3 linked regions of the Alligator mississippiensis genome follow. The protein of the gene in region 1 interacts with the protein of each later gene in a biochemical or structural test. Links are inferred from orthologs where the notes say so. Each region holds a gene or a part of one and is shown in the gene's direction. Other genes may lie near its edges.

Region 1 (7,013 bases):
TAGCAAAGGGCAACCTGGCCCTGGGAGAGGAGGGAGAAATAGAAATGTTTACAGTATAATTAAATTTGCAAAGCGGCCAAGTACGGGAAATGCTGGAAAAGAAATGTCACCGTGACTATGAACTGGCTGATCGTATATCAGACAATGGCAGACATGGCCTGTCAATAGTTTTCGAGAGGTACTAATTGATTCGTGGGCCGAGTAGCTCCGGGAATCCGGCCCTGGGGCACCCTGGGGGGGCTCTGCGCTTCCTACAGGGGTTTTCAAAATGCCAGGAAATTTTCTAGCTCTACCTTCGCAGTGCATTTCCTTGTCAGACCAGGGCTTGGTCAGGGCTTGAAAATGCAACCCCTAGGTAAAAGGAAATCTCTTTTCACGTCGGGCAACACGATAGCGTTATATGTATTTAATTGTCCCCCCAGGAGGCAGATATGTATGTAGGGGAGCGTACATTTATTTCTTTGCAAGGCTTAGCAGGTGAAGTAGATGCCTAAGACATCTCCGGAATAAAGATGTCTCCAGAACTCAGCCCTAGCTTATTTTTTGTTACATTCTCCTGCACCCAGGCTATTAAAAAAAAACCCACAAACCCGGTCAATTGTGTTCTCTACCGATGCCCCTGAAATAGCTTTTTAAAAGTTGTGCCAAAATGCCCACTGATCTCTAGGATGAACATTTCTTTCCGGAAGGGACAAGCGAAGGGGAGAGAGCGAGTCGGAGTTCCTGCTTGCCTTTCCCAGAAATGAAATCAAATAAAACCCAGCAAAGCTTCCGCGATCCCAACCTGTGCTCGGTTAAGGGACACAGGCTGCTCCAAAGGAAATGAAGCTGGAGAGAGCCCCTGAATTGCGTTGCTGCTCTCCTGGGCTGTTCTGGCCGTGTCAGATCCATGGCACAGGGCAGGTTAAATAACAATAAAAGCTCCCCGAATGGAACCTGAGCTTGAAATCATTTTTAAGGATTCTCGTAATTTGTCGGGACAGGGAAATACCTTTTGCCAACTGAACCTTGTTTGGACCTGGACGGCTGCTTGACTTGCATGGCTAGGGTGCCCTTGACTCAGCCCTTTCCTCTTCCCCCAGACTTCCACTTCCCCACGGCTCGGAGAAGATGCGATTTCTTTCAGAGATAAAGACAGCACTCACGCAGGTTTCAGCCTTCCTTAAAGGAACTGCTATTTAAATACCTATTTAACTGATGCTTCCCACATCCCCCCCCCCCATGCCATTCAGCAAATGAATATCATCCCTAACATCGCCACCACAGTGGGGGAAAAAAATCTACCTTTGAAATAGACCAATTGGAGGTGTTTGGGGCTTTCTTCTGATTGTAGTGTATTCAGTGCAGAGGACTCTGATTGCTGTCCCTTTAATCTGTTGACACTATCACCCAGATAAACAGGCTGCCATCGATCTTTTCATTAGGTGATCAAATAACAGAGCAGGTGAAAGACAAGAGCATTAGCATGCTTCCCCGTCTTCCCAGGCATCATTATTAGAAGTATAAGTTCAATTCCGTAATTACGTGGAAGAAATCCATGTGCCTGAGTTGTGTCTATGATATTGGCGCAGACACACATAGGTAAACACACATCTGTTGTCTGAACGAGGTGCGGGTGCGTGCGCGAGTACACAAATACTCACGCACGGATCTGGATCTGCGGTGAAAATGCCTTCTAAGAAAATACTTACAAACTGGAGGCAATAAATATCTCCCTCTCTAACCGTGCCGTCAGCTGTAATATGCCTGAACTAGAGGGCTAACGGGAGGCAGTGCTGAAAGAGGCTCGGAAAAGCAGGCTAGATGTTAGGAGGGGGGAGGAAAAAAAGTTATCCTTGCAAAGTGCAGCTCGCCTGGAACTGCATCACAGTGGGCTTCCAACTCAATGTAGACACAAGTTAACCCCCTTAGAAACACGGAATAGAGAAAGCAGTACTTGCCTGGGGTAGCCTGGCTTGGCCGGGTTTCTGGGTGCCAACTGCAGCGATCCAGGCTCCGAGGAAACCTTTCCAAGGAGGAGCAGGGCGCAAGCTGCTGGGTCCGTCCACCTTCTCCCAGGCTCTCTCTGTCTCTCTGCCTCTCTCTCTCTCTCCCTCACTCTCTGTGTCTTGCTCTGCCTCTTTTACTCCCTGTCTCTTCACAGTCTGGGGAGTAAAATCTAGATGATATACATACAGGGCTTGCTTTTTTTGTCTGATTTAATCTTATTCGTTTCACCTTCTCACTGACCAGGAGACAGGAGCGAGAGTTTATTTGGAAAGAGGGAGAGAGAGGAAAAGAGCCCACTGTTGCATAGTCAATAACATCCTTTTTATCAATGCAATATACAATAGGGGCGGCTTGGCCAGGGGGACTCATTGAAAATCTCTTCATTATTTCAGGACAAAATAACCCGTTTATTCTGATCTTAGAAATGAGCCGGGACCCCCCCCCCCCTTTCCCCTCCTGTCATATTTGGGAACTAGACAGGGAAATCAAATCAGTAGCAGTGCACAGCAAAGTTGGGGTTTCTTTTCTCTCCTTTTTTTAAGTGAAAGAAGCAGCTTTCGCGGAGGGAGGGGGGGAATAATCCAACTTCTGTTAATATCCCCCCTCCTCCCCCCGCAGATGTGGCTTGGCTGCCACCCGGATTTGAAACTTTTCGAGGAGCTAAGAGCACTTCTTGCAGTTGGTTTCCTCTTTGTCAGGCACAGCCATTCGACCCGAGGCGAATGGGAAAGCTCTCACACCCTGGGAGGGTGCAGGCAAGGAGGCTGCAGGGGGGGAGGAAGAGACGCTGGTAGAGTTATTATTAAAAAGCAGGGTCTGCGCCCCCCTCCCCAGTGCAGTGGCTTTATTAAAAAAAATAAGGGAGTGGGGGCAGAGCTGTAAAAAAAGATTTGGTGGCTTCCTGCTGCTCTGGAGAAAGCTCCGGCTTTGTGCTTGGAGGAGGAAGGGGGAGCTCGCGTCTGGGCTCCTGTCCGCTAGATGGCAGCCGGATCCACGATTCAGCAGTGCGGCGGGTAGGAGGGAGGCATGGAGCCTGGCTCCCTGCCCCCCCCCGGCCCGGCCCGGCCCGGCCCGGCTTGGCTAGCCCGCGCGCTCCAGCCCGCACGGGAAGGATGCGGCTTCGGCTCCGGCTCCGGCTCCGGCTCCGGCTGGGACTCTCCTCCGCCAGCCTTGATCTTCCCAGACAACAAAACGGGAACTTACTTTTGTTTTATGAATAATTGCTGGAGCGCCGCCGGCTGTGCCAAGAGCGGGGGGGGGGGGAGGACAAGGGGCCGCTGCAGGCGGGGGGGGCTCATCCACAAAACCTCAGTCTGCCAAGTGGGGGGATGGGGGAGGCTGGGAGCGGGGGGAGCGTGGTACTAGGAGGGGGACTTTGGGGGGGCGCGGTTGATCCCCTTCCAGGACCCAGTGAATCCCGGTGGGGGCGGTGGATCCTCATGGCAACTAGAAAAGGAGGGAGAGGCTCCAAGGCGCTGAATGGGAGCGAGCCGCAAAGTTGGACTAGGATCTACCCCGCTCTAAGTAACGTCTGTCCGCCCCGGGCGCCTGCCTGCCCCCCTTGCCAACCCGCGAGCCCCGGGGCCGGGGGCTCCCGCTGCGAGCCGGGCGCGGGCATCCCATCTGAAAAAGTAATAAATAAATAAATAAATAAATAAATCGTGACCCCCCCCCACACACACCCCCTCCACACACACACACACACACACACACACAAACTTTTCAGACTGAGCCAAAATAATTCTGTTCCCCTTTCCCTCTATCGCAATGCACCCCCTTCGGAGGGGTGTGCGTGTGTGTGACCATAGGCGACCCATACTAATCAGGTCTCAAAGTAAATAGCAGCGCCGGGCGATCTCAATGTAAATTGTGCTTGTCAGAAGAATCCCCCTCCCTCCCTCCCTCCCTCCCCTCCCCTCCCCATCCCAGGCAGTAGGTAGCAGAGAATAAAAAAAAAAAAGGGGGGGGGGCTCTTAACCAATGGAGTGAAGGAGGCTTGGCTAACCTTAGCCTCCCATTTTCTCTCCCCCCAATTCAGGGCTCTGACCAGTCAGTCGCCTTTGATTATCAGTTGCCAGCAGCCCCTCTCTTGGCTCCTTGACATGAGCTCCATATAAGGCAGCGATCTCCATAGAAACGTGTCAGTTTCAATAGTAGTGTCAAAGTTCACTATATACAGACATTCGCGCAGATCCCCCTTTCGGAAACATTGCTCTGCTAGGCTTCCCGTTTAAACGCATTCATTTTTTGGGTCTCTCTCTCTCTCTCTCTCTCCCCCTCTCTCTCTTCCTCTCTCTCTCTCTCTCTCTCTCTCTCTCTCTCTCCCTCCTTTCTTGCATATTCTATTAGTTGTTTTTTTCTTCCTCTCCCTCTTCTCCCTCTTCTCCTTCCTTTTCTTCTTTTTTCCACCCTTCCTCCCAGTGTCTTTCGCTTCATTCCTGCAGAAGAGAGGTGAAACTAAAAAAAAAAAAAAAAGAGAGAGAGACAGGGGGGGAAAAAAATCCCAGAGAGAGAGAGAGAGAACGCGTTCACCTCTTCATGCCAGTATTATTATTCTTTTCTTTTCTTTTTTACCATTATTGTCTATTTTTTTTTATTTCGGGGGTGGGTTTTGCTTCTGCCTGATGAGTTTTTGTCTCTGAAATACTTTTTTTTTTTAATGATTCTTATTCTTATTTAATCAAACAAGAACCTTTTGGGGGGGGGGCGATCTCCAGTGGCTTTGGGAACCGGCACCGGGTGTTGTGAGCGGAGCAGAAGGAAGGGACGAGAAAGAGGAAAAAGAAGAGGATTTATTTATTCGACCTACTTTGGATCTCTCTTTTTTCTGCGGGTGTCATTATTATTCAGCTGCTTCTTTTTTTTTTTTTTTTTGCTCGACTCTTCGCCGTGAATCCGGCTCCTCTGCGAATTAGTCACCTCCAGTGCTTTTTGTGTCATTCTTCGTCTTTTCCGAAAAGACCCAGAGAGGGAGAGAAACGACCGGCCACAAGAGCAGCAACAACAACACAAAATCAAACTGTCTAATCTCCGAGCCCTCCTCGCTCGCGCTTCCCAAGACTGGTTTCCTGAATGGCTGACTGCGTTGTGCCCTGGACCTGGCCCCCGGACACTCTCATCCCTTGATCGCCAGGAGCTTTCTCCTCTCTCCCAGCCCCGCGCCCCCAAAAGCGCCGGCAGCGGCGGCGGCAGCGGGGGGGAGCTCCAGCGGCACCAGGACCGGCCGGGCCCCGGCAGCGAGCAGCGAGCGGCGGCGGCGGCGGCAGCCCGACCTCCTCCTCCTCCTTCTCCTCCTCCTCCTCCTCCTGCTTCCTCTATGTCTGCACATCCTTTGCACTCCTAGCGCTCGGACTGTGTGTGGCTGGTGCGTGCTCTGTGTGTGTGTGTCCGGCGATTACCTCCCCAGTGTGACTCTCCTGAATGCCTCTCCTAGCCGCCTGGTTTGCCGTGTCTGATTTTGCAACTTGAAAGTGGAGGGGGGGGGGAAAGGAGCAAATCTCGGTCTCGCTTTCTAGCTATTGCCAGGGAAAAGAGGGGGGGACCCCCAGAAGCCCTGCTTTTCCCCCCTCCCCCCGCAAAACCCAGGCAGAGAGAGAGGGAGAGAGAGGGAGAGCCAGAGGAGGGGGGCTGCAAAAATCAAGAAAACGGCAGCGCCGGCTCCAGCCCCAAGAAACAGCAGCAGCAGCAGCACAAGGGCAGCAGGAGCAGCAGGAGCAGCAGCAGCAGGCGCTGGAGCAGAGGCAGCCGCAGCCACGATTGCTTCTCTCTCGTCTCTCCCCCAAACCCGAGCCACCCACCTCCCCCCTCCCCCCTCCTCTCCCAGGCAGCCCTCGGCGAGAAGCTCCGCTCCCCAGCACTTTTTGGGCCCGAGATATGGCAATGGTAGTTAGCAGCTGGCGAGATCCGCAGGAAGACGTGGCCGGGGGCAACCCGAGCGGCCCCAACCCTGCAGCTCAGCCGGCCCGGGAGCAGCAGCAGCAGCAAGCGGCCTCCGCGGCCCCGCACACCCCCCAGACCCCCAGCCAGCCCGGCCCCCCGTCCACCCCGGGCACGGCCGGGGACAAGGGCCAGGGCCAGCAGGGCTCGGGCCAGAGCCAGCAGCACATCGAGTGCGTGGTTTGCGGGGACAAATCCAGCGGCAAACACTACGGGCAATTCACCTGCGAGGGCTGCAAAAGTTTCTTCAAGAGGAGCGTCCGCAGGAACTTAACTTACACATGTCGGGCCAACAGGAACTGTCCCATCGACCAGCACCACCGCAACCAGTGCCAGTACTGCCGCCTCAAGAAGTGTCTCAAAGTGGGCATGAGGCGGGAAGGTGAATATTTCTTCCCTATTCTACTCTCGCTCTCTCTAGATCTCTCGTGTCTCTAGACCTGCAGCCCAGCTCCAAGCTTTGCACCCAGGCTTTGGGTTTGTGCTGCTGCCCTCCTCCTCCTCCTCCTCCTCCTCTCCCCCCCAACCCCCTCCACCGCCACATGCTTCCCTTCCCTCCTCATTGTGATGAGAATTTATTATTACGATCACTCACTAAATATGTATTATTTCTCCGGGATCGCTGCTCTCCGGATGGGATTTGGTCTATTGTTGGCATGAGGCTGGGGAGGGGGGGGGGCATCCCTCTCTGCGAGCTGTGTTTCCATTCATTTCCCCACCCTCTCCCCCTGTTAGTTACAATTTTAAACCCCCCACCACCACACTTCGCAGTAGATCCATTTCCAGCATCATCTTTCCTGAAAGAAAGATGAAAGACGTGTAAGTAGGAAAGAAAGGCGGGGGGGGGGGAGCCCCACACAGGGGAGGGGGGATGTGCTACTGTGTCTCTGCTTCCTTGTGCTTTCCACTGTGTTGGAGTCTGCTCCTTGCAAGATCTGGCCTTGTTTTCACTCCATGCTTTCAAAGGAAAGTTTGTGACTGAACCGTGCTTTCCTAGCTCTGTCATCCTCCAGCATGCTGCTCGTTTTATTTCTCCATCAAACTCCACCCTCTCCTTAAATACTGCATACAAATGACAATTTCTAACA
Region 2 (7,368 bases), on another chromosome or scaffold:
TGAAATGCTAGTCACACACTGTCAACTTCACAAAAATCAAGGTCCTTTACTAACCCACCCCAAGCCAACCCAGGTGCTCCTCCACATATTACAATTAGGGGGTAGTTTTGGGAGAATCTTGAGCATTTCCCCTATGTGGCGTACCTACCTGCAGCAGGGATGCTGCCACGAGATGAGACTCACCTCCAGCGCCAGAGCAGAGGGAAAAGCAATGGCCGCCAAATGCCGCTGAAGACCAAAGGTGCTGCGGTGTGAACATTTCCACAAGAGGAAAAGCATAGGTGGCACAGGGGCAACAGGAAAAGCAGCAGCAGCAGAATGCCACTGAGGACCAAAAGCACCTAAACACACATTCCAGCGTGGGCATGCTTTATGGACTCTTGCTGCCAATGATTCACTGGCCTTCCGAGAGAGGGATAAAATCCATACCAGCCAATGTCCAGGGAGGACCAGAAGTGAGGCCTCCTGAGAGCCAGGAGCAGCAAGAAGTGAATGGATGCCCCGGTAGGGGCCAGTGATGGCAAACCCAAGAGTTGGGGTGCCCAGCTAAGGCTGGCTCAGAGGAGCCAGGATACATACCTCTCATGAAGCCATAGTTCCCAGACAATGCTGATAGAGACTGGGACAGCAGCAAGCCTCCGGAGAGAGGAAAAGAAGGATATTAAAAGCTGTAAGGAATGCCTGGGGAGGGAGTGAGCCCTCAGGGAAGGCACCCCGGGGTATATGCAGCGACAAGTCAGGCTGACGTGACACCTTGACAAGGACAGTAAGCCATCTGAACTGGGACTGAAATTAAACAGGGGCTAATGCCTAGCCATGGCTGACAGTGAGTTAGCCTCGGCCAAGACCTAACATCATCTGTGGTTGGCGTAAGGAAGGGTGTAGGGGAGGTGGAGGCCCAAGACAAAGACCTGTGCGAGAGACCTAAGAGGGAACCAGGAGAGGCAGGACTTCAGAACTTCCTCCCAGCAATAATCTTTACAATCAAGTTGTGGCAGGCGAGAACCCATGGGGACCTTAAGGACTCCCATTGGAAAGCAAGCTGCTGACCCACAAGGGGACAGCAGCACTCAATTGCCCCGAAAAGTCAAAATGCTCAAGTAAATGCCATGGTAAACTACACCACCTTTTCCAAAAAAGTAAATATAGATGACAGTATTCAGCACCAGATAAAATCTGCCAGTGCTACCTTTTGGATGTCTCCAGAACCATGTATTCAGGACCCAAACTAAACTTCTCATCTACCAAGGTGTTGTCATCCTTACCATGTTGTATGGGTGTGAACCTTGGATGACATATCAGAACCACCTGAAAGCTTTGGAATATTGGCATCAGCAATGCCTTAGGACAGTGGTTCCCAACCTTTTTTTCCTGTAGACTGGCACAGGAGCAGGACAGGGCACATGGAGCCGGCTGCCTCCTTCCCGGGGCTGCCCCAGCCCCCAGCTTTAACTCTGTTCACCTTGGAAGCTGCTCACTCGGGCAGAAAGATTGGGGTCTGAGCAAGGGGCTTGTGCTACAACCCAGCAACCAACCCTTCGCAGCCCAATGGTTGGGAATCTCTGCCTTGGGAAAATACCCACTATTAACTGGAAGGACAGAAGAACAAACACCAGCATTCTGGCTCAAGAAATACCACCAGCATTGAAGCCATGTTTATAGGTCCTTTGGACAGGACATGTTATCAGGATGCCTGACAACCAGCTCCCAAAACAGTTCCTATACTCCCAACGCACCAATGGTCACCAGTCCAGAGGTGGGCAAAAGAAAAGCTTCAATGACACCTTGAAAGCCAATCTAAGGAAGTATATTAACATCTATATGTGGGAGATTCAAGCACTGAATCATCTCCAATAGCACCATGATGTGCAACAAGGCATTAATCATTTTGAGCAAATTAACATCACTATGGCGGCAGATAGACAAGAGAGAGAAAAGAAGCTGTGACCTGACATCTCTAGTATCTACTGCTTTGCCTGGAACTATTTGCCATGTCTGCAGTCAAACATGCAGATCTTGGATTGGCCTCCTCAGTCACAGACTCATTGATGACTTTGCTATTTACTGGAAGGCTGTCATCCTCATATTGAAGACTGTCACTGCCAATTGACCCATGTTTTGGTTGTTTGAAATAGAGGGCACTTAGATGTGCAGTGGGGCTGGTTCAACACACAGTAATTAATCCTGTAATTACTGCACTCCAGCAGACCCCAGTGTCACATGCATCAGTGTCCCCACACTGAAAAATAGCAGCAGGGGCACCTTAACTAAAGTTTGCTCAATGAGCTTTAGTTAAAGAGCCCCTGCTGCCACTTTTTAAGTGCAGGGACGCTGATACACATGATGCTCCAGGCATTTTAATCAGACCAACTCAGAGCTGCTCTAATTAAAACCTTCCACCCCACCCCATGCACACTCCTGGACCATGTCTATAAATGCCCAGAAAGTCCTCAACATGAACTAATTTTGAAGAAGCACTGGGCCACCTTTATGAAAGAGAACAGACATGCACTGTGAAAGAGTTAAAGGTGTTTACTGTCCATATATTATTAGTACTTGAACCCTGTCCATCTCAACAACAGAGTACGACTGACATGTGAGGGGTCTGGAAGTCAGGTGCAATTTGGGTGTATCGCTCAAAGAAAGGACTCAAAAAATTATGTTATATCTGATAACTACAAATAGTACTATTATAATGGATATGGCCATAGAGCAAGAATAAGGTACATATTTGTTTGTTCCTTCACCAACAGAAATCTACGCTGTCATACACCTGTTGTACTTTTAGTCTTTGAAAGAGATGAAGCAGGAGGTCATTTCTGCTCATTCCTTTCACTGAGTTTAGGTCTCCTGATTCTAGCTCTATGTTTCAATAAGGCTCTTGTACCCTTTTTGGCAGCCTCTTGGAGAACACTCTTTGCACTGGATTTCCTAAGCCAGTGTAGAAGTGGATGACTGAAAACTTGTCTTAGCCCTAGTTCCCCTCTTGGGATGCTTGTTTTTAGAAAGGAAACCAGAGCATAGTGTGATGTAGGGCTGGTGGGAGTGGTGAAGAGCATGAAACAAGTTGAGGTTGAAGGTAATTAAGTTTATGTGGTAGATGGAGCGTTCAGAGGACAGCAGTAGTTTTAGTCATGGGTGAAAGAGCAAAGGACGCTAGAGGTTGAAGAAGAGAAGTAAAGAGATCACAGTACATCTCCATAGTCATCTTCTTAAAAAACCTTGACAAGATCTCATGTGGAGGCAACAGGATGAAAAGGAGAGGTTATGAGTCAAGAGTGGAAGACTATAGGCAGCATCAATCACAGACTTGGTTCAAATTCAGAGAACCTATAGGTTTTCTTGTCCAGGAAAATGTCAAAATTAAGAGTGGCATAGTACTAGATGCTTTTCAATACATTCTGGAAAGCTTTATTTACTACTTCATTTATTTTTGAAACATAACAAATGTACTCCATCTACTTTGGAGTTTACTGCCATTTTCACTGTTAGTGTGTAGTAGCTTTGCGGTACACAGCACGGGGAAAGCTTGAGAGAGAAACAGTTGAGCCAGCCAAATAAGGCTTATAATTAGACAAGGTGTGGCCTGCTTTGATTACAAGTTCCTTGGTACCTTCTTTTACGTTTTCAGTCCAGGACCCAGCATACTCATCAAAGGTTGTACTGGGGTGTTCAGAGCACCAGCTCTGAGGAAGCCATCACGTTGCTGGAGAACAACTGTGCTAGTTTCTCTCAGTTGTGCCATCCCCTTCACTCTGCTCCATCCGGGCTGTCTGATTTGCCTAATCTCTGTACTGTTATTTCTCAGCGACTGCTTCTATGGTAATGCCGTACTCCACCTAACTACTCATCCCGGTATTGTTTTGAAGAGACCTAGAGTGAATATGCAAAGCCGTGCTGCTGGCTGGTGAAACACCTTTCCTTCGCCTGCTCCTGTGGTCTGCTCCGAGCCGTGTGCCAGGACCAAGGACACTGCCTCCGGCTTCCTTCGCCTTCACCCACAGCAGCCCTCTGGGCCGCGGGGAGGCCGGTCGGGGCCGAAACGAGAGGCACCTGAGCGGCCCGGGAGCGGAGGCAGGGCGGGGGAGCCCCGGGGCGAGGAGAAGCGAGGGTTGGGTGTGAGCGCCAGCACGTGCCCCCGGCCGGGGCGGCCCCAGGGCGGGGGCCGGCTCGTCCTACCCCCGGCTCTCACACCTTGCCCGCGGCCCGCAGCGTCCTCCCCAACATGGCGCCGCCGCCGCCCCGCGGGGGCCTCCTCAGCGGGGGCGGGGCAGCCGCCGGCGGGGCGGGGCGGGGCGAGACGAGACGAGGCGGCGGTTGCAGCGGGGGCTGCCGGCGGAGGGGAGTGCGGCGGGGCAGTGCCAGGCGGCGGCGGGGAGATCGCTCCCTCCCTCCGCGCGGGCAGGAGGCGCCGGGAAGCCCCGGCCGCCCCCGCACCTGCGCCCGGGGGAGCAGCCGCGGGTCACCTGCGCGCCCTCCTGGGGCCGCCGCGGCTCAGAGCGGGTCGGGCGCTGTGCGAGGCGGCGGCCGGGCCGGGCGGCGGCAGCAGCAGCAACATGAACCCCAATGTCACCTACGCCAGTCGGAAGCGGCGGAAGCCCGTGCAGAAGATGTAAGCCCGGGCGGGGTGGGGGCGGGTCTCGTCTCGGAGCAGGTGAGTCCGAGCAGCCCCCGGGCGGGGGGCGCTCGTCGCTCCGGCCGCCCAGCGGCGGCCCCCGGCGGGCGGGCGGGCGAGCGAGCCCGCGCTGCTGACCCGGGCGAGGCGGCGGCCGGCGGTGACCTAGTCTCAGGAGGCATCTAAGGTGACGGGCGGGCGGCCGCCTCGGGCCGGGATCGCTCCGCTCCGCCCCGCCCCGCCCCGCCGCACTCGGCGCGAGCCCGGGCCACGCCGGGGAGGCGGCAGTGCCCGGGGCTCGGGCCCGAGGGCGGATGGGCTCCCCTGCACCCCGGCGGGTTTCCAGAGTGACCCGCTTCCATGTGCCCCCCCACCCCGGTGCGTGCGGCGGGGCAGCTGCGCTTCGCCAGGCGCTGCCACGTCTGACCACGAGACACGTGTCGCTTGGCAGCTCCTGGGCCTGATCCCGACTGTGCCAGAGCCCCCGCCGCGTGGCGATCCTTGCTCCGCTGGGAATGGGCCTTAGGCTTGACTGGCCTGGCATCAGGGTTACTCGCATTTCTGTGACCGTCTATGCTAAGGGTTCCCCACCTTCTTTTGCACCAGGACCCGTTTGTAAACGCCGATTGGCAGTCCCGACCCGCTGCACCCGTGCCCCAGCCACTGGGGCAGGGTGGGCCCAAGCAGCCGCTCACAAGCTGGAAGTCTGCCAGCCTGCAAGAGCAGCCCCACAGTTTCCCATGTTTTTCTCCTATAAAGGAGAACGCATTTTTGACGTTTGTTTGCAGCCCTTTCATATACTTTTGCAGCCCACTTTTGGGTCACAACCCACAGGTTGAGAAATGCCGGTCTAGAGGAAGAAGATAGGTTTTGACATTTAGGTGTCAGGCATCTAGATGACTGGCTTTCGTAAAGAAGTAGAATACAAGACTGTAAGGAAGAAAAAGAGGACCCCCCCCCCCCCCCCCCATGATTCAAAGCCAAAGCAAGGTTCTTATTCTTGTTAATCGCGTGCATTTGTGCAGATAGCATTGCTGGAGTACATCTGCTACACTGAAATCCCTTCCAAAACGTAAGCAAAGGAGGAAAAGGAGTATTTGGGAGACTAGCTGAGTAAGCAGTATTCTTTTATTCAGCACAGCTTACAGCTCTTATTTTGGATTGCTGCTTTGGGCTAGGATGGCTGTTGCTATTACGGTTTGGGGGGGGAGGGGGTTGTTGTTTGCTTTTCAAAAGGAGATTTCTCTTTAAATGAAGGTGCTGTGTTATAGACTTTAAATAAAGAATTAAAAGCTCTGAAAAATTCTTGACTTGGGCAAACAGCAGCAGCCAGGCAGAAAGTGTGGCAATTATAGAAATAAATTGGGGGTGGTCATGCTTTGAGCTGGAGTCGGACTAGATAAACTTTTCTCCACATGTGAGTTGTGACCCAAAAATGGGTTGCAAGAATATACGAAATGGTTGCAAATAAACTTTACAATGGATCAACAAACTTTAAAAATGAATTCTCCTTTAAAGGAGAAAACTAGGAAACCGTGGCTTTTCCCCTGCAGGCTGGCAGAGTTCCATCCTGCATGGGGTTGCTTGGGACCCCCTTGTCCCAAACTGAGGGCCTGCGGGCGCGCAGTGGGTCGGGAGTGAGGGGCACTGGATTCGGACTTGCCATCAATGTTTACAAATGGGTCCCTTACAAAAAAGGTTGAGAACCACTGGACTAAGTGACCTCCTGAGGTCCCTTGCAACCCTAATGTTTTACGATTCTGTGATACTGTAAATAGGCCTATCTACTGTTGAGCTAAAATAGAGAGGTTGAGGTGTTAAAGCAATTCAGCAGTATAAATTTACATTTTATAAAGAAAATAGTAACTCTGTTGCTCTGCATGCAAGTGTATACACTCTACCACCTGTCCAGCTAATAACAACTTTCCAAGTCTATAATTTCTTTGGCTAAAACTTATTCAAAATTGTGGCAATATTTGCTTTTTCTGGTCAGAGAACTTCATGATTTGCTTACTAATAAATTCACTTTGATTACCAGATGTGCAAACTATTTTTATTTTGAGCTATTGATTGTTGTATAACAACTCACTGTTACTATTTTATATTTCTTATTTCAATTGGCTGAACTTCTCTTATTTGTTGAACCTGAAGAATATTTCCTTTTTTCATGAATGGAAACCAATCAACAACATTTTAGGGCTAAAGGGAAAATAAACATTTCTTCTTAAAGTAAATGTTTTTGGTTTGAATGTATCCTATATAGTTGGTGTTTTACCTACCTTATGGAGGAGGAAAAAAATGTTATTATATTACGTAGTGCCCTGTTTGATTGACAGACAACTTGTGCAACATAATTATTTTTTGTTCAGTGTATCATTTATTATCCTCCTCTTACTTACGCTGAATGGTCCTTGATTATTTTTTTATTTTTTTTTTTTGCATTTGTCCTCTTAGATGTTTCCTAAAGCTGCTCTACAGGCCCCAAAGGGTTTGATTTCTTCAATTAAAAACTAATCATAGTACATATCTTCGGGCAAAAAAGTTGAGTCAGTCAGAGAAGCAAACAGTTGTCAGAGCTGATTTAAGAGAGTTGGTTTTTGGTTACAGTCTATTGTTGGGTAGTAAAGCTTTTACATGTTTGTAAAAAGATTTGTGTGCTGTCTATGCCTTCCTAAAACCAAGGTGTCCCACCAGTGGGATGCAATTAGCCTAGCATCAACTTAATTCCGAATTCAGACCTCTTGAGAAAGCGG
Region 3 (7,830 bases), on another chromosome or scaffold:
GATGAAGTGTGCTCCCTATAGGCACGCACACACACCCTGCAGCTTGTCCCAGATTTCTTTTTTCCCTGGGAAGTTGTTGCGAAGGGGGTAAGGGGGAGGGGGAGGGGAGGGGAGGGAAAATACAAAACTGACTCTAAGGAAAGGAACAGAAAGAGATGCTTCCAAGTTATAGGGCCCTATCCTGCTACCACTGACGTCAATGGAAGTTTTGGCAGTGACTTCAGCACAGAGAAGGACTAACGAGGGGAGCCGAAGTCGGGGCTTCAGGAAGGCTGTGTAACTTAAATAGGCTCGCTTCTCTTCCAGCCCCCTGCAGAGGGGCAGTGAGTGAGCCTGCCTCACTCACGCTCCCAGCACTCCCTTCTGTTTCCCTAGCTGATGTGTGCTTTTGTGCTTGCATTTTTTTGGTTGGGATTTTGTGCAACTGGGATGAGGGAGGGCAGGATCAGGCCCCCGTATTTGGACTGTCACTGAAGGAGTGCTTTTCACGTTTGGAAAGATGATCAAAGCGAGGAGCTCAGCTGGACAAGGCAGGAGAGTCCAAATGAGCTGAGGTTGTAGAGGGGAAGGTTGCTGGAATATTACTTTCCAAAGCCAGTCCCGAAAAACGTCAGCAACAGACAGAGAAAATTAAGCAAACTGGAAGGAAACCAAATCTAGAGAAAGATAAGAGGGATCTTTGCATCCCATGCGGTGTGGGAATAGGGCTGGGAGGCTAGGCATTATCCTCTTTAGACTTGAATTGACTTGCACTTTGAAATATTCCTGTGTTTTCCACGTTCAGGAGGAAGGAAATTAGGGGAATAAATGGTGCAATTTATATATATTTTAACAGATAACGAGAACAATTTTGTTGTGCTCCATAAATTGAAGAAACACACCAAACAGTTCCTCTGATTGAGGTTTTGCAGCCCTGTTTACTGCAGTTAAGTGATTTGATGCAAAAAATTTTTACACATTTTGAGTTATTATATCACCCTGAAATTTGATGCCACTTAACTATGTAATTTTGAGAAATTATATGAAATCATCGCAGGAAAAAAAAATATTCCAGGAAGCCCCAAAGACCTCTTTTTCTCTTTTTTTTATGGGTCTGAAATGAGAACTCACAGAAATCCTTGCGCTGAATGTGAAGGCACAACTGCCACCTCGGGAGCTTTATTAATATGTATGTAAATATGATCTGGTTAGATCCTGTGTTTCTGTATCTCCTCGCAAGGTGGAGCGGGTAAGTAAGGCGATCGGATCAATGCCCTGTGTTTGTTCTGATTTCCACAAACAACGTGCAAAGATTCCCCAGGAATATGGAACGAGCCGGCTGGTCTGAGCCAAGGCTGTTCACACGCGCACACGCGCACACCCGCACGCACACACGCGCGCCTACATCTCTTCTCCAAACCTATTTGCTTCTCACTTAGCTCGAGCTTTCGGAGCAAAGACTGCGCAGCAACCGAAGTCGCAACAGACAGGATCTGGGACGGAAGTGTTTATTGTCCTGAAAACTTCTGTGGCTAAATGGGGGGAAGGTGGAAATGTGCCCAAATGGGGCCAGGTGACAGATCAGTCCTATTGTATAGGATTGCAACCCTGCCAGAGTATTGGGAGTTTTTTTTTCTCTCTCTCTCTCTGTCTCTCTCGAAGTTCCTGCTATTACTAGCCATGCCAAATTTCCGCACTTAGACATCATATAATTAAAAAGCAGAAAGAAAAAAAATGAATCCCAGAAGCTAAAATATCTGCTCTTTATTCAGCGCGCCTTGTTGTATATAGAATGAAATGGCACATTTAACGCTGCATTAGCTTCTTGTTCCTGATAGCAAGGAGCATAGGCTGGGGTGAGACTTTGACTCGTTAAAATCCAGGTTGGAAAAAATATGATCGGCAAGTTGGCACCACATTTTTGCATTGCTGCTAATTTACAATTAATCGCCTTTTCAAAGGCTCTTGGTTTTGTTGTTTTTCCCCCGGTCCTTTTCAGTTGGGTTGTTCGAAGGATGAAGAATCCTCTCCTGGCTTTGGGGCAGGAGGCGTGTTTCGGTAGGTGTCAAAGCAGGGTGGAGGCGAGTGCGTGTGGTGCTCGCCTTTCTCATCTGATCACAAGGTGGAACTTGCACGGCCCGCTTTTCTTACAGTCGGATGATGCGAAGGGGAGAGGGAGAAAAGGGACTTGGACAAAGCAGTGCAATAATCAGTGGGACAGAAATGCTCCGGCCAGCGCGCTATTGTGGCTGGCGGCCTGGGGGAGGGGTGGGCAGAGCCAGGCCCGCGAGCCCCCTGGGAGCAGCAAGCCCCTCTTGTTTGTCTGCTGTCACCGAGTGGGACTTGGATATCGACAGAGTGGGAAAACAAAACAGTGGGCCAGCTGCAGATGGAGGCGGGGTCGAGGGATAGGTCAAGGTTAGAAAGAGCCTGCTATTGATCTGTCTTTGAACGCGAGACAGGGAAAGCAAAGAGACTAAAGGGGGAGCTGTGAGACAAGACATTAACAGCTTTCAGTGCTAATGATCACAAGTGCCAGACAGGGGAGGAAAGAGGAGACTGAGAAATCACTTTGGAATATTTTTCCCCCTATTGGGATACATTTTAGGAGCAGGAGGAGGAAGCGAGGCTTTAAAAAAGACCTCTGTGTTAGAGCCCTGGGCTCTGACACGAGGAGTGCACGCACCTCAGCCCGCGTCCCCCCAGGCGCTGCCACTGGAGGGGACGAAGGAGGCCGGCGTGGTCAATCATTGATGTGCCCTTATCTTTGATTTGATGCCCACTGTTAAGACAGGAGTGAATCAACAGAGGATGGCCAGGAAGCTGCCTGATAAGGTTTGCTGCTGAACGTCCTGCCCTGCTCTGGAAGCGGGCGCGGCAGGCTGGACTCTGCCCCAGCCCCGCTCCCCTGGCCGGCAAGGACACCTTCAGCCCCGGCTTCCCGCGCGGGCCGAGACACACGTGGCGCACACGCGAACTGCTCGCCAGGCCGGCAGAGTGCGAGGGGAGGGGAGCGGGCGAGAGGGAATAAAGAAAGAAACTCTCGTGGGAAGGGGCCGAGGAGGACGGCGGGAGGAGGGGGCTACGGACACCTGCCCCGAGCGTGCGGCCCGGGGGCCAGTTGGTGCTGGTTTGGGTTGTATTGCCATTTCATTGCCTGGCGGTGGAAGTCTCCCAGCCGCATTCCTGGAAAGGCTCTGCTGACCCCAGTGGCATCCATCATGCTGACACCAGGTGGGGCTGGTGCCTTCTCGAGCTCTAGGTAACCCGGGCTGGAGCTGCGGGAGAGGGCAGCTTTGAGAAGGATCCCTTGGCAGGAAGATGCCGAGGCACCATCTCCCCCGGCCCCGGGGCAGGCCCCGCGGGCTCCTCCGCAGGCAGCTGCCCCCCTCCCTGCGGCCCCAGCCCCAGCTGCCCCCGGCCTGGCGCCGCCTGCCCTCCCCAGCCAACCTGCGGGCAATGGCCGCGCGGAGCGGAGCGGGGCGCTGCCTCTCCGCCCAGCTGCGGGCAGCTGCTCGGAGCGCGCCGCTGCCTGCCTTTGTGAGCCCCGCGACCCCGGGGAGGACGCGAGCGGCCTCCGGGGGGGACGCGCCTTTCCCTCGCCCGCTCTTTGTGAGGGGCAGAGCGGGGCACGGCCAGGCTGGCTCCGTGCCCACCCCGGGCGGGTCCGCGCCGGGCTGCAGGACAGGACCTGCGGCCCGGAGCAGCCCCAGCTGCGAGTGGCAGGTTTGCACCGCAGTTTGCGAGAGGAGGCGGCGAGCGCTGCTGTTCAGCCCAATTCTGCTCCGGGCAGTTTGGGGCAGCGAGATGCGCCCCCCTCCCCCCTCCATGCCCCCGGCTCCCCGGCGCTTGCCGCCACCCCCAAATTCCTGCCAGGCTGAGAGGAGATGGCAGGAGGGCGGGACCCCTTCCCCCGCACGGAGGCGGCCTCTCCCTCGGGTTTGCTCCCGCTGCCTGCCAGCCCCCAGCCCCTCGCCCTGTCCAGACGTGGTGCTGAAAGCGCGGGAGGAGGGGAAAGGCAAGCCGGTGCAACGGGGCAGGGAGGAAAAGTTGGGCTCCAGGAGTCCTGAAGCGAGCAGCGCGCTCACCTGCGCGGGAAAGAGGAGGATGTGGCAAGTACAAGCAGGGGCTCGTTCCCCAGGGAGCTGCACGGCCCCGGCTGGTCCCCGCTCGCCCGGCGGGCGCCCGCGCGGCTCGGGGAAGGCGAGAGGGCGAAGCGGGGCCCCTGCAGCCCCGCGCAGGGAGAGACGACCCCCCCCCTCAGCCCACACGGCTCCTGCCTTGTTGGGAAAGTGTCGGGAAGAAATGCCCGGCGGCTGCCGCGCTGCCTGGAGCAGGAGAAGCCTCGGAGCTTGCAGGGGGGCAGGAGAAAGATGGGCCACGGGAGGAGCGGCCTCCCGCCGGGGTCCCCCCGCACCGCACCTCATCGGGGCCTGGGCTCGGGTGAGGAAGGGACCCAAATCCACATGCCCGGAGCCAGCCCCCACCAGGGTGGCGACCCCCCCCCCGCCCCCCAGCTATGGGAGCAGAGGCTGCAGAGCCGGGCGAGGCAGGGGCTCGTGTCCCCGCGCTGGCTCCGCGTCTGCGGGCGCTCCCGAGGGCCGGGGCAGCAGCGGCGCACAAAGCCCGGCGCTGCTCCCGCGCAGGCATGTGCTTTAGTTTGTGTCTCCGCGTGTGAGTGTGTGTGTGTGCTGCTTGTTCTCTTGCAGGGTACAATGTTAAAAAGCCACCGCTAGTCGCCCCCAGTGCTCCTACTCTCTGGGTCTTTTTTTTTTTTGTCTCTAGTGCAGATTAAACGTCACGTCCGCACTTGAACTTGAATTTTATCCCATTGTACAGAGGCAGCCCCAGCCATAGAGAGACAGAGCGCTCCCAGAGAACCAGGACTCCGCCATCTTCACATTGCAATATATAATAGTAATAGCCAGCACCAGCCCAGCTGCACTAGGGGCTTCCTTCCTTCCAGTCCCAGTGCCAGGCGAGGGGAGCAGTGAGTGCCAAGTGGTGCAGAGGCACTGGCAATGCAAAAGCACTAGGGCAAAGCAGTGCTACCTGAACTGGGAAAGAGGAGACACAGTCCTGCTGCCCCTTTAACAAAATAGCCCAGCCAAGGGTCCATTTCTGACAAAAAAAATATTTTTTTTTTGGCATTTTTCTGGGGTGCGCGTGGGCAAGCCCCAGCTCGACTTTTTTTGTGTTTTTTTCTCTTTTTTTTTTTTAAGACTTTTTCTTCTTTTTTTTTGCCCTTCTGCTGGAAGAAGTGCACTTGCCCATTGGCCCAGCACTCTGGAGACAGAGAGCGAGAGAGAGACAGAGCGAAAAAAGTGTCACTCTCGGTGCAAAGCCTCCTAAGTTCAAGAAGAGATTTGGAAGTGCGAGCGGTGGAGGAGAGAGCAAACAAAAAACCAAAAACCAAAACAAAACAAAAAAAAGAGGCAGAACGCGTGTGAGGGACAGCGCGAGGCACCAGAAAGAGCTTTTTTTTTTCCCTTTCCTTTTCTTTTTTTTCCCCCCTTTCTTTCCTCGTGATGCTGATTTTTAATTGAGGGGGAATCCCAGCCCGTGCACCGCCGCCGCCACAACAAAGAGGGGGCCGCTTGTCTTCATTTTTTTTTTCTTTTTCTGAAGAAGAAGCAGCAGCAGCAGCAAAAATCCATCCCGGAGAAGGCAGGAGAAGAAGACAGACACATCCAGAGGAGGAGGAGAAGGAGGATCGGCCGCTCCCCCGCCCCCCACGCGCGTCCCCCCAACCCAGTGCAGCTCTCCGGGCGATGCCAGTGTAAATGCCAGGGCAATGTCCCGTCGCAAGCAGGGGAACCCGCAGCACTTGTCACAAAGAGAGATTATCACACGTAAGTTTGCAGGAGCCGGCGCGGAGGCAGGGGCCGGGCGGGCAGCGCGGAGCGGGAGCCAGGCAGGGAGAGGGGCCGGGAATGGAGGGGGAGGGCGCGCGCGCGCCGCGGCGGGGTGGGGGGAGACGGAGCCGGAGCCGGAGCCGGGGAGAGGGAGAGGAGTGGGAGACGAGAGGGAGGCAGGGGAAGCAAAGTTTGCAGCGGAGCCGAGCCGGGAGCCGGCGGCGGGGCGGGAAGCAAGCGCGGGGAAAAGTTGGCGAGCGGCTGCCCCTGCCCGTCCGGGCGTGCGGGGCAGGCCGAGGTGGCGGGACGCGGCCGGGGCTGCAGGTGGCCGCTCCGCGCGCAGGTGCCGCCGGCCCCGGGGCCCCGCGCTGCGCCCGCCGCCGCCGGCCCCGCGCGAGTGGTGGGTGGGGAGCACAGCGCCGGGGGGCGGGGGAGCCCGGAGAGCCGGCCCGGGATGGGATGGGATGGGATAGGAGGCGGGGGGAGGCTGCGCTCCGCCAAAGCTCCCACCGGAACCGGGGGGGGGGGGGAGCAGGGAAAAAACCTTGGGGGAGATGCTGGGTCCGAGGGACAGGTCACTGCGTGTGTGTGCACGCGCGCGCGTGTGTGTAGATGCGTGTGTGCACGCGTGCAGAGCAGGCACCTTCCCCCCCCATCCCTGATTCTTCTAATTTTTAGCCCTTTATTTCCCTTCTTTCGCCTGGCACCCATCTGAGTGCAATGCAAAGCCATCCAGCCGTCCTTTAGGTGCCACGAAGGTGGCAAGCACTCCCCCCCCCCAGCCCCCTCAGCTTCAGAGGTAAAGAGGGGGCAAAAAACAAATCCAACCCAAGTGGCAGGATGCCCCGAGCAGAGCCCCTGCCCCGGGCGGAGAGGTCCCGAAGTTGGCTGTGAGGAGCGGGGCGCGCGGCGCGAGCCGGGGCTGAGCCTCGGAGCCGCCGCGAATCCGAATATTTATGTTCGATTTTAAAGAATTTAAATAAATAAATAAATATATCCCGAGCCTCCCTCCCCTGGACAGGCGAGAAGAGAAGCCATCTGCCAGGAGTATTTGGTGGTTGCGATCTCTCCTCCTTTGTTCCCGCGGAGAAAACTGGGTTTTGTAAGAATTTGTTGGAAAGAGGATGATGAGGAGGAGGATGGTGATGGTGATCTGTTTCTTTTTTTTCCCCTGCCGTTAGATATTTTGGGTGGCGTCCGGGTTCTGCCATTTCTATTTTTCTTTTTTATTTTATTTTTGCTTCTCTGGTTACTTTATCTTTTTACCCCCTTTCCCCCCACCCCCAACCATCAGCTGGTGCAACACAAATGAAGATGCATTTGGCACCTTTCGGGGGGGAGGGGGGCGGTGTTTTTTCATTCAGTGCTATTTTGTAACCAGATTTGCCTCCCCTTTAAAAAGGTGGATACTTCCCCAAAACCTCTTTGTTAATTGCATTTTTTTTTTTAAAAAAAAGAAAACCCAGCCGGTTTGGAAATTGCGTTTTCCTTTTTTCTGGTTGATTTTTTAAAAAAACATCTGCACCGTCTAAGGCAATGTCTCCCACTAATTTCGTGTCTCGTTTGCAAGAAGAGATTTGGTTTGGAAAGGGGCTTGCGGGTGTGTGTTTGTTGCACACATTTGAATGTATTGAGAAGGGCGAAACATTTTTGGGAGAGAGGGGAGCCAGGTAGGTTCATTCTTGCATTGGATCTCGTTTCCTGATCGCCTTACTTGGAAGTAAATAATGAGGCAGAGGAACAGTGAACTCGGGGGTCCAAGGAGCTGCGTGCACAATGGGTTTGGAGGGGAGGAATGGAAGGCAAAGCTGCATGCAATTTCCCCCCTCCCTTCTTGTGTTTCTCTATCTCTCCATCCTGAGGAAGCTGGAGGAGAAATCAGGATGCATACTGAACAGTGGCAGAAAAAAATAAAGGTATCAATTGAAGGAGGGGGTGGGAGTAGTCCGGGGGGAGGAGGGGAGCAGGAAATACAGGCATTTTAGCACACATCCAC

The links. The genes of interacting proteins can lie anywhere in the genome.
Region 2: the proteins of NR2F1 (region 1) and AHR form a complex in vitro, tested with the Homo sapiens proteins (2 studies listed by BioGRID). The link is inferred for Alligator mississippiensis from reciprocal best matches to the Homo sapiens genes NR2F1 and AHR.
Region 3: the proteins of NR2F1 (region 1) and BCL11B form a complex in vitro, tested with the Homo sapiens proteins (2 studies listed by BioGRID). The link is inferred for Alligator mississippiensis from reciprocal best matches to the Homo sapiens genes NR2F1 and BCL11B.

What each region holds. Positions count from the first base shown.
Region 1 is NC_081826.1:240,947,522-240,954,534, reverse strand, and holds the start of NR2F1 (COUP transcription factor 1), read left to right. Parts: upstream 1-3,995; 5' UTR 3,996-5,862; coding exon 5,863-6,307; intron 6,308-6,660; exon of another isoform or gene 6,661-6,744; intron 6,745-6,785; exon of another isoform or gene 6,786-7,013. UniProt on the Homo sapiens protein: Coup (chicken ovalbumin upstream promoter) transcription factor binds to the ovalbumin promoter and, in conjunction with another protein (S300-II) stimulates initiation of transcription. Binds to both direct repeats and palindromes of the 5'-AGGTCA-3' motif.
Region 2 is NC_081828.1:163,341,841-163,349,208, reverse strand, and holds the start of AHR (aryl hydrocarbon receptor), read left to right. Parts: upstream 1-4,349; 5' UTR 4,350-4,556; coding exon 4,557-4,612; intron 4,613-7,368. UniProt on the Homo sapiens protein: Ligand-activated transcription factor that enables cells to adapt to changing conditions by sensing compounds from the environment, diet, microbiome and cellular metabolism, and which plays important roles in development, immunity and cancer.
Region 3 is NC_081825.1:281,772,765-281,780,594, reverse strand, and holds the start of BCL11B (B-cell lymphoma/leukemia 11B), read left to right. Parts: upstream 1-4,811; 5' UTR 4,812-5,773; coding exon 5,774-5,831; intron 5,832-6,424; exon of another isoform or gene 6,425-7,750; intron 7,751-7,830. UniProt on the Homo sapiens protein: Key regulator of both differentiation and survival of T-lymphocytes during thymocyte development in mammals.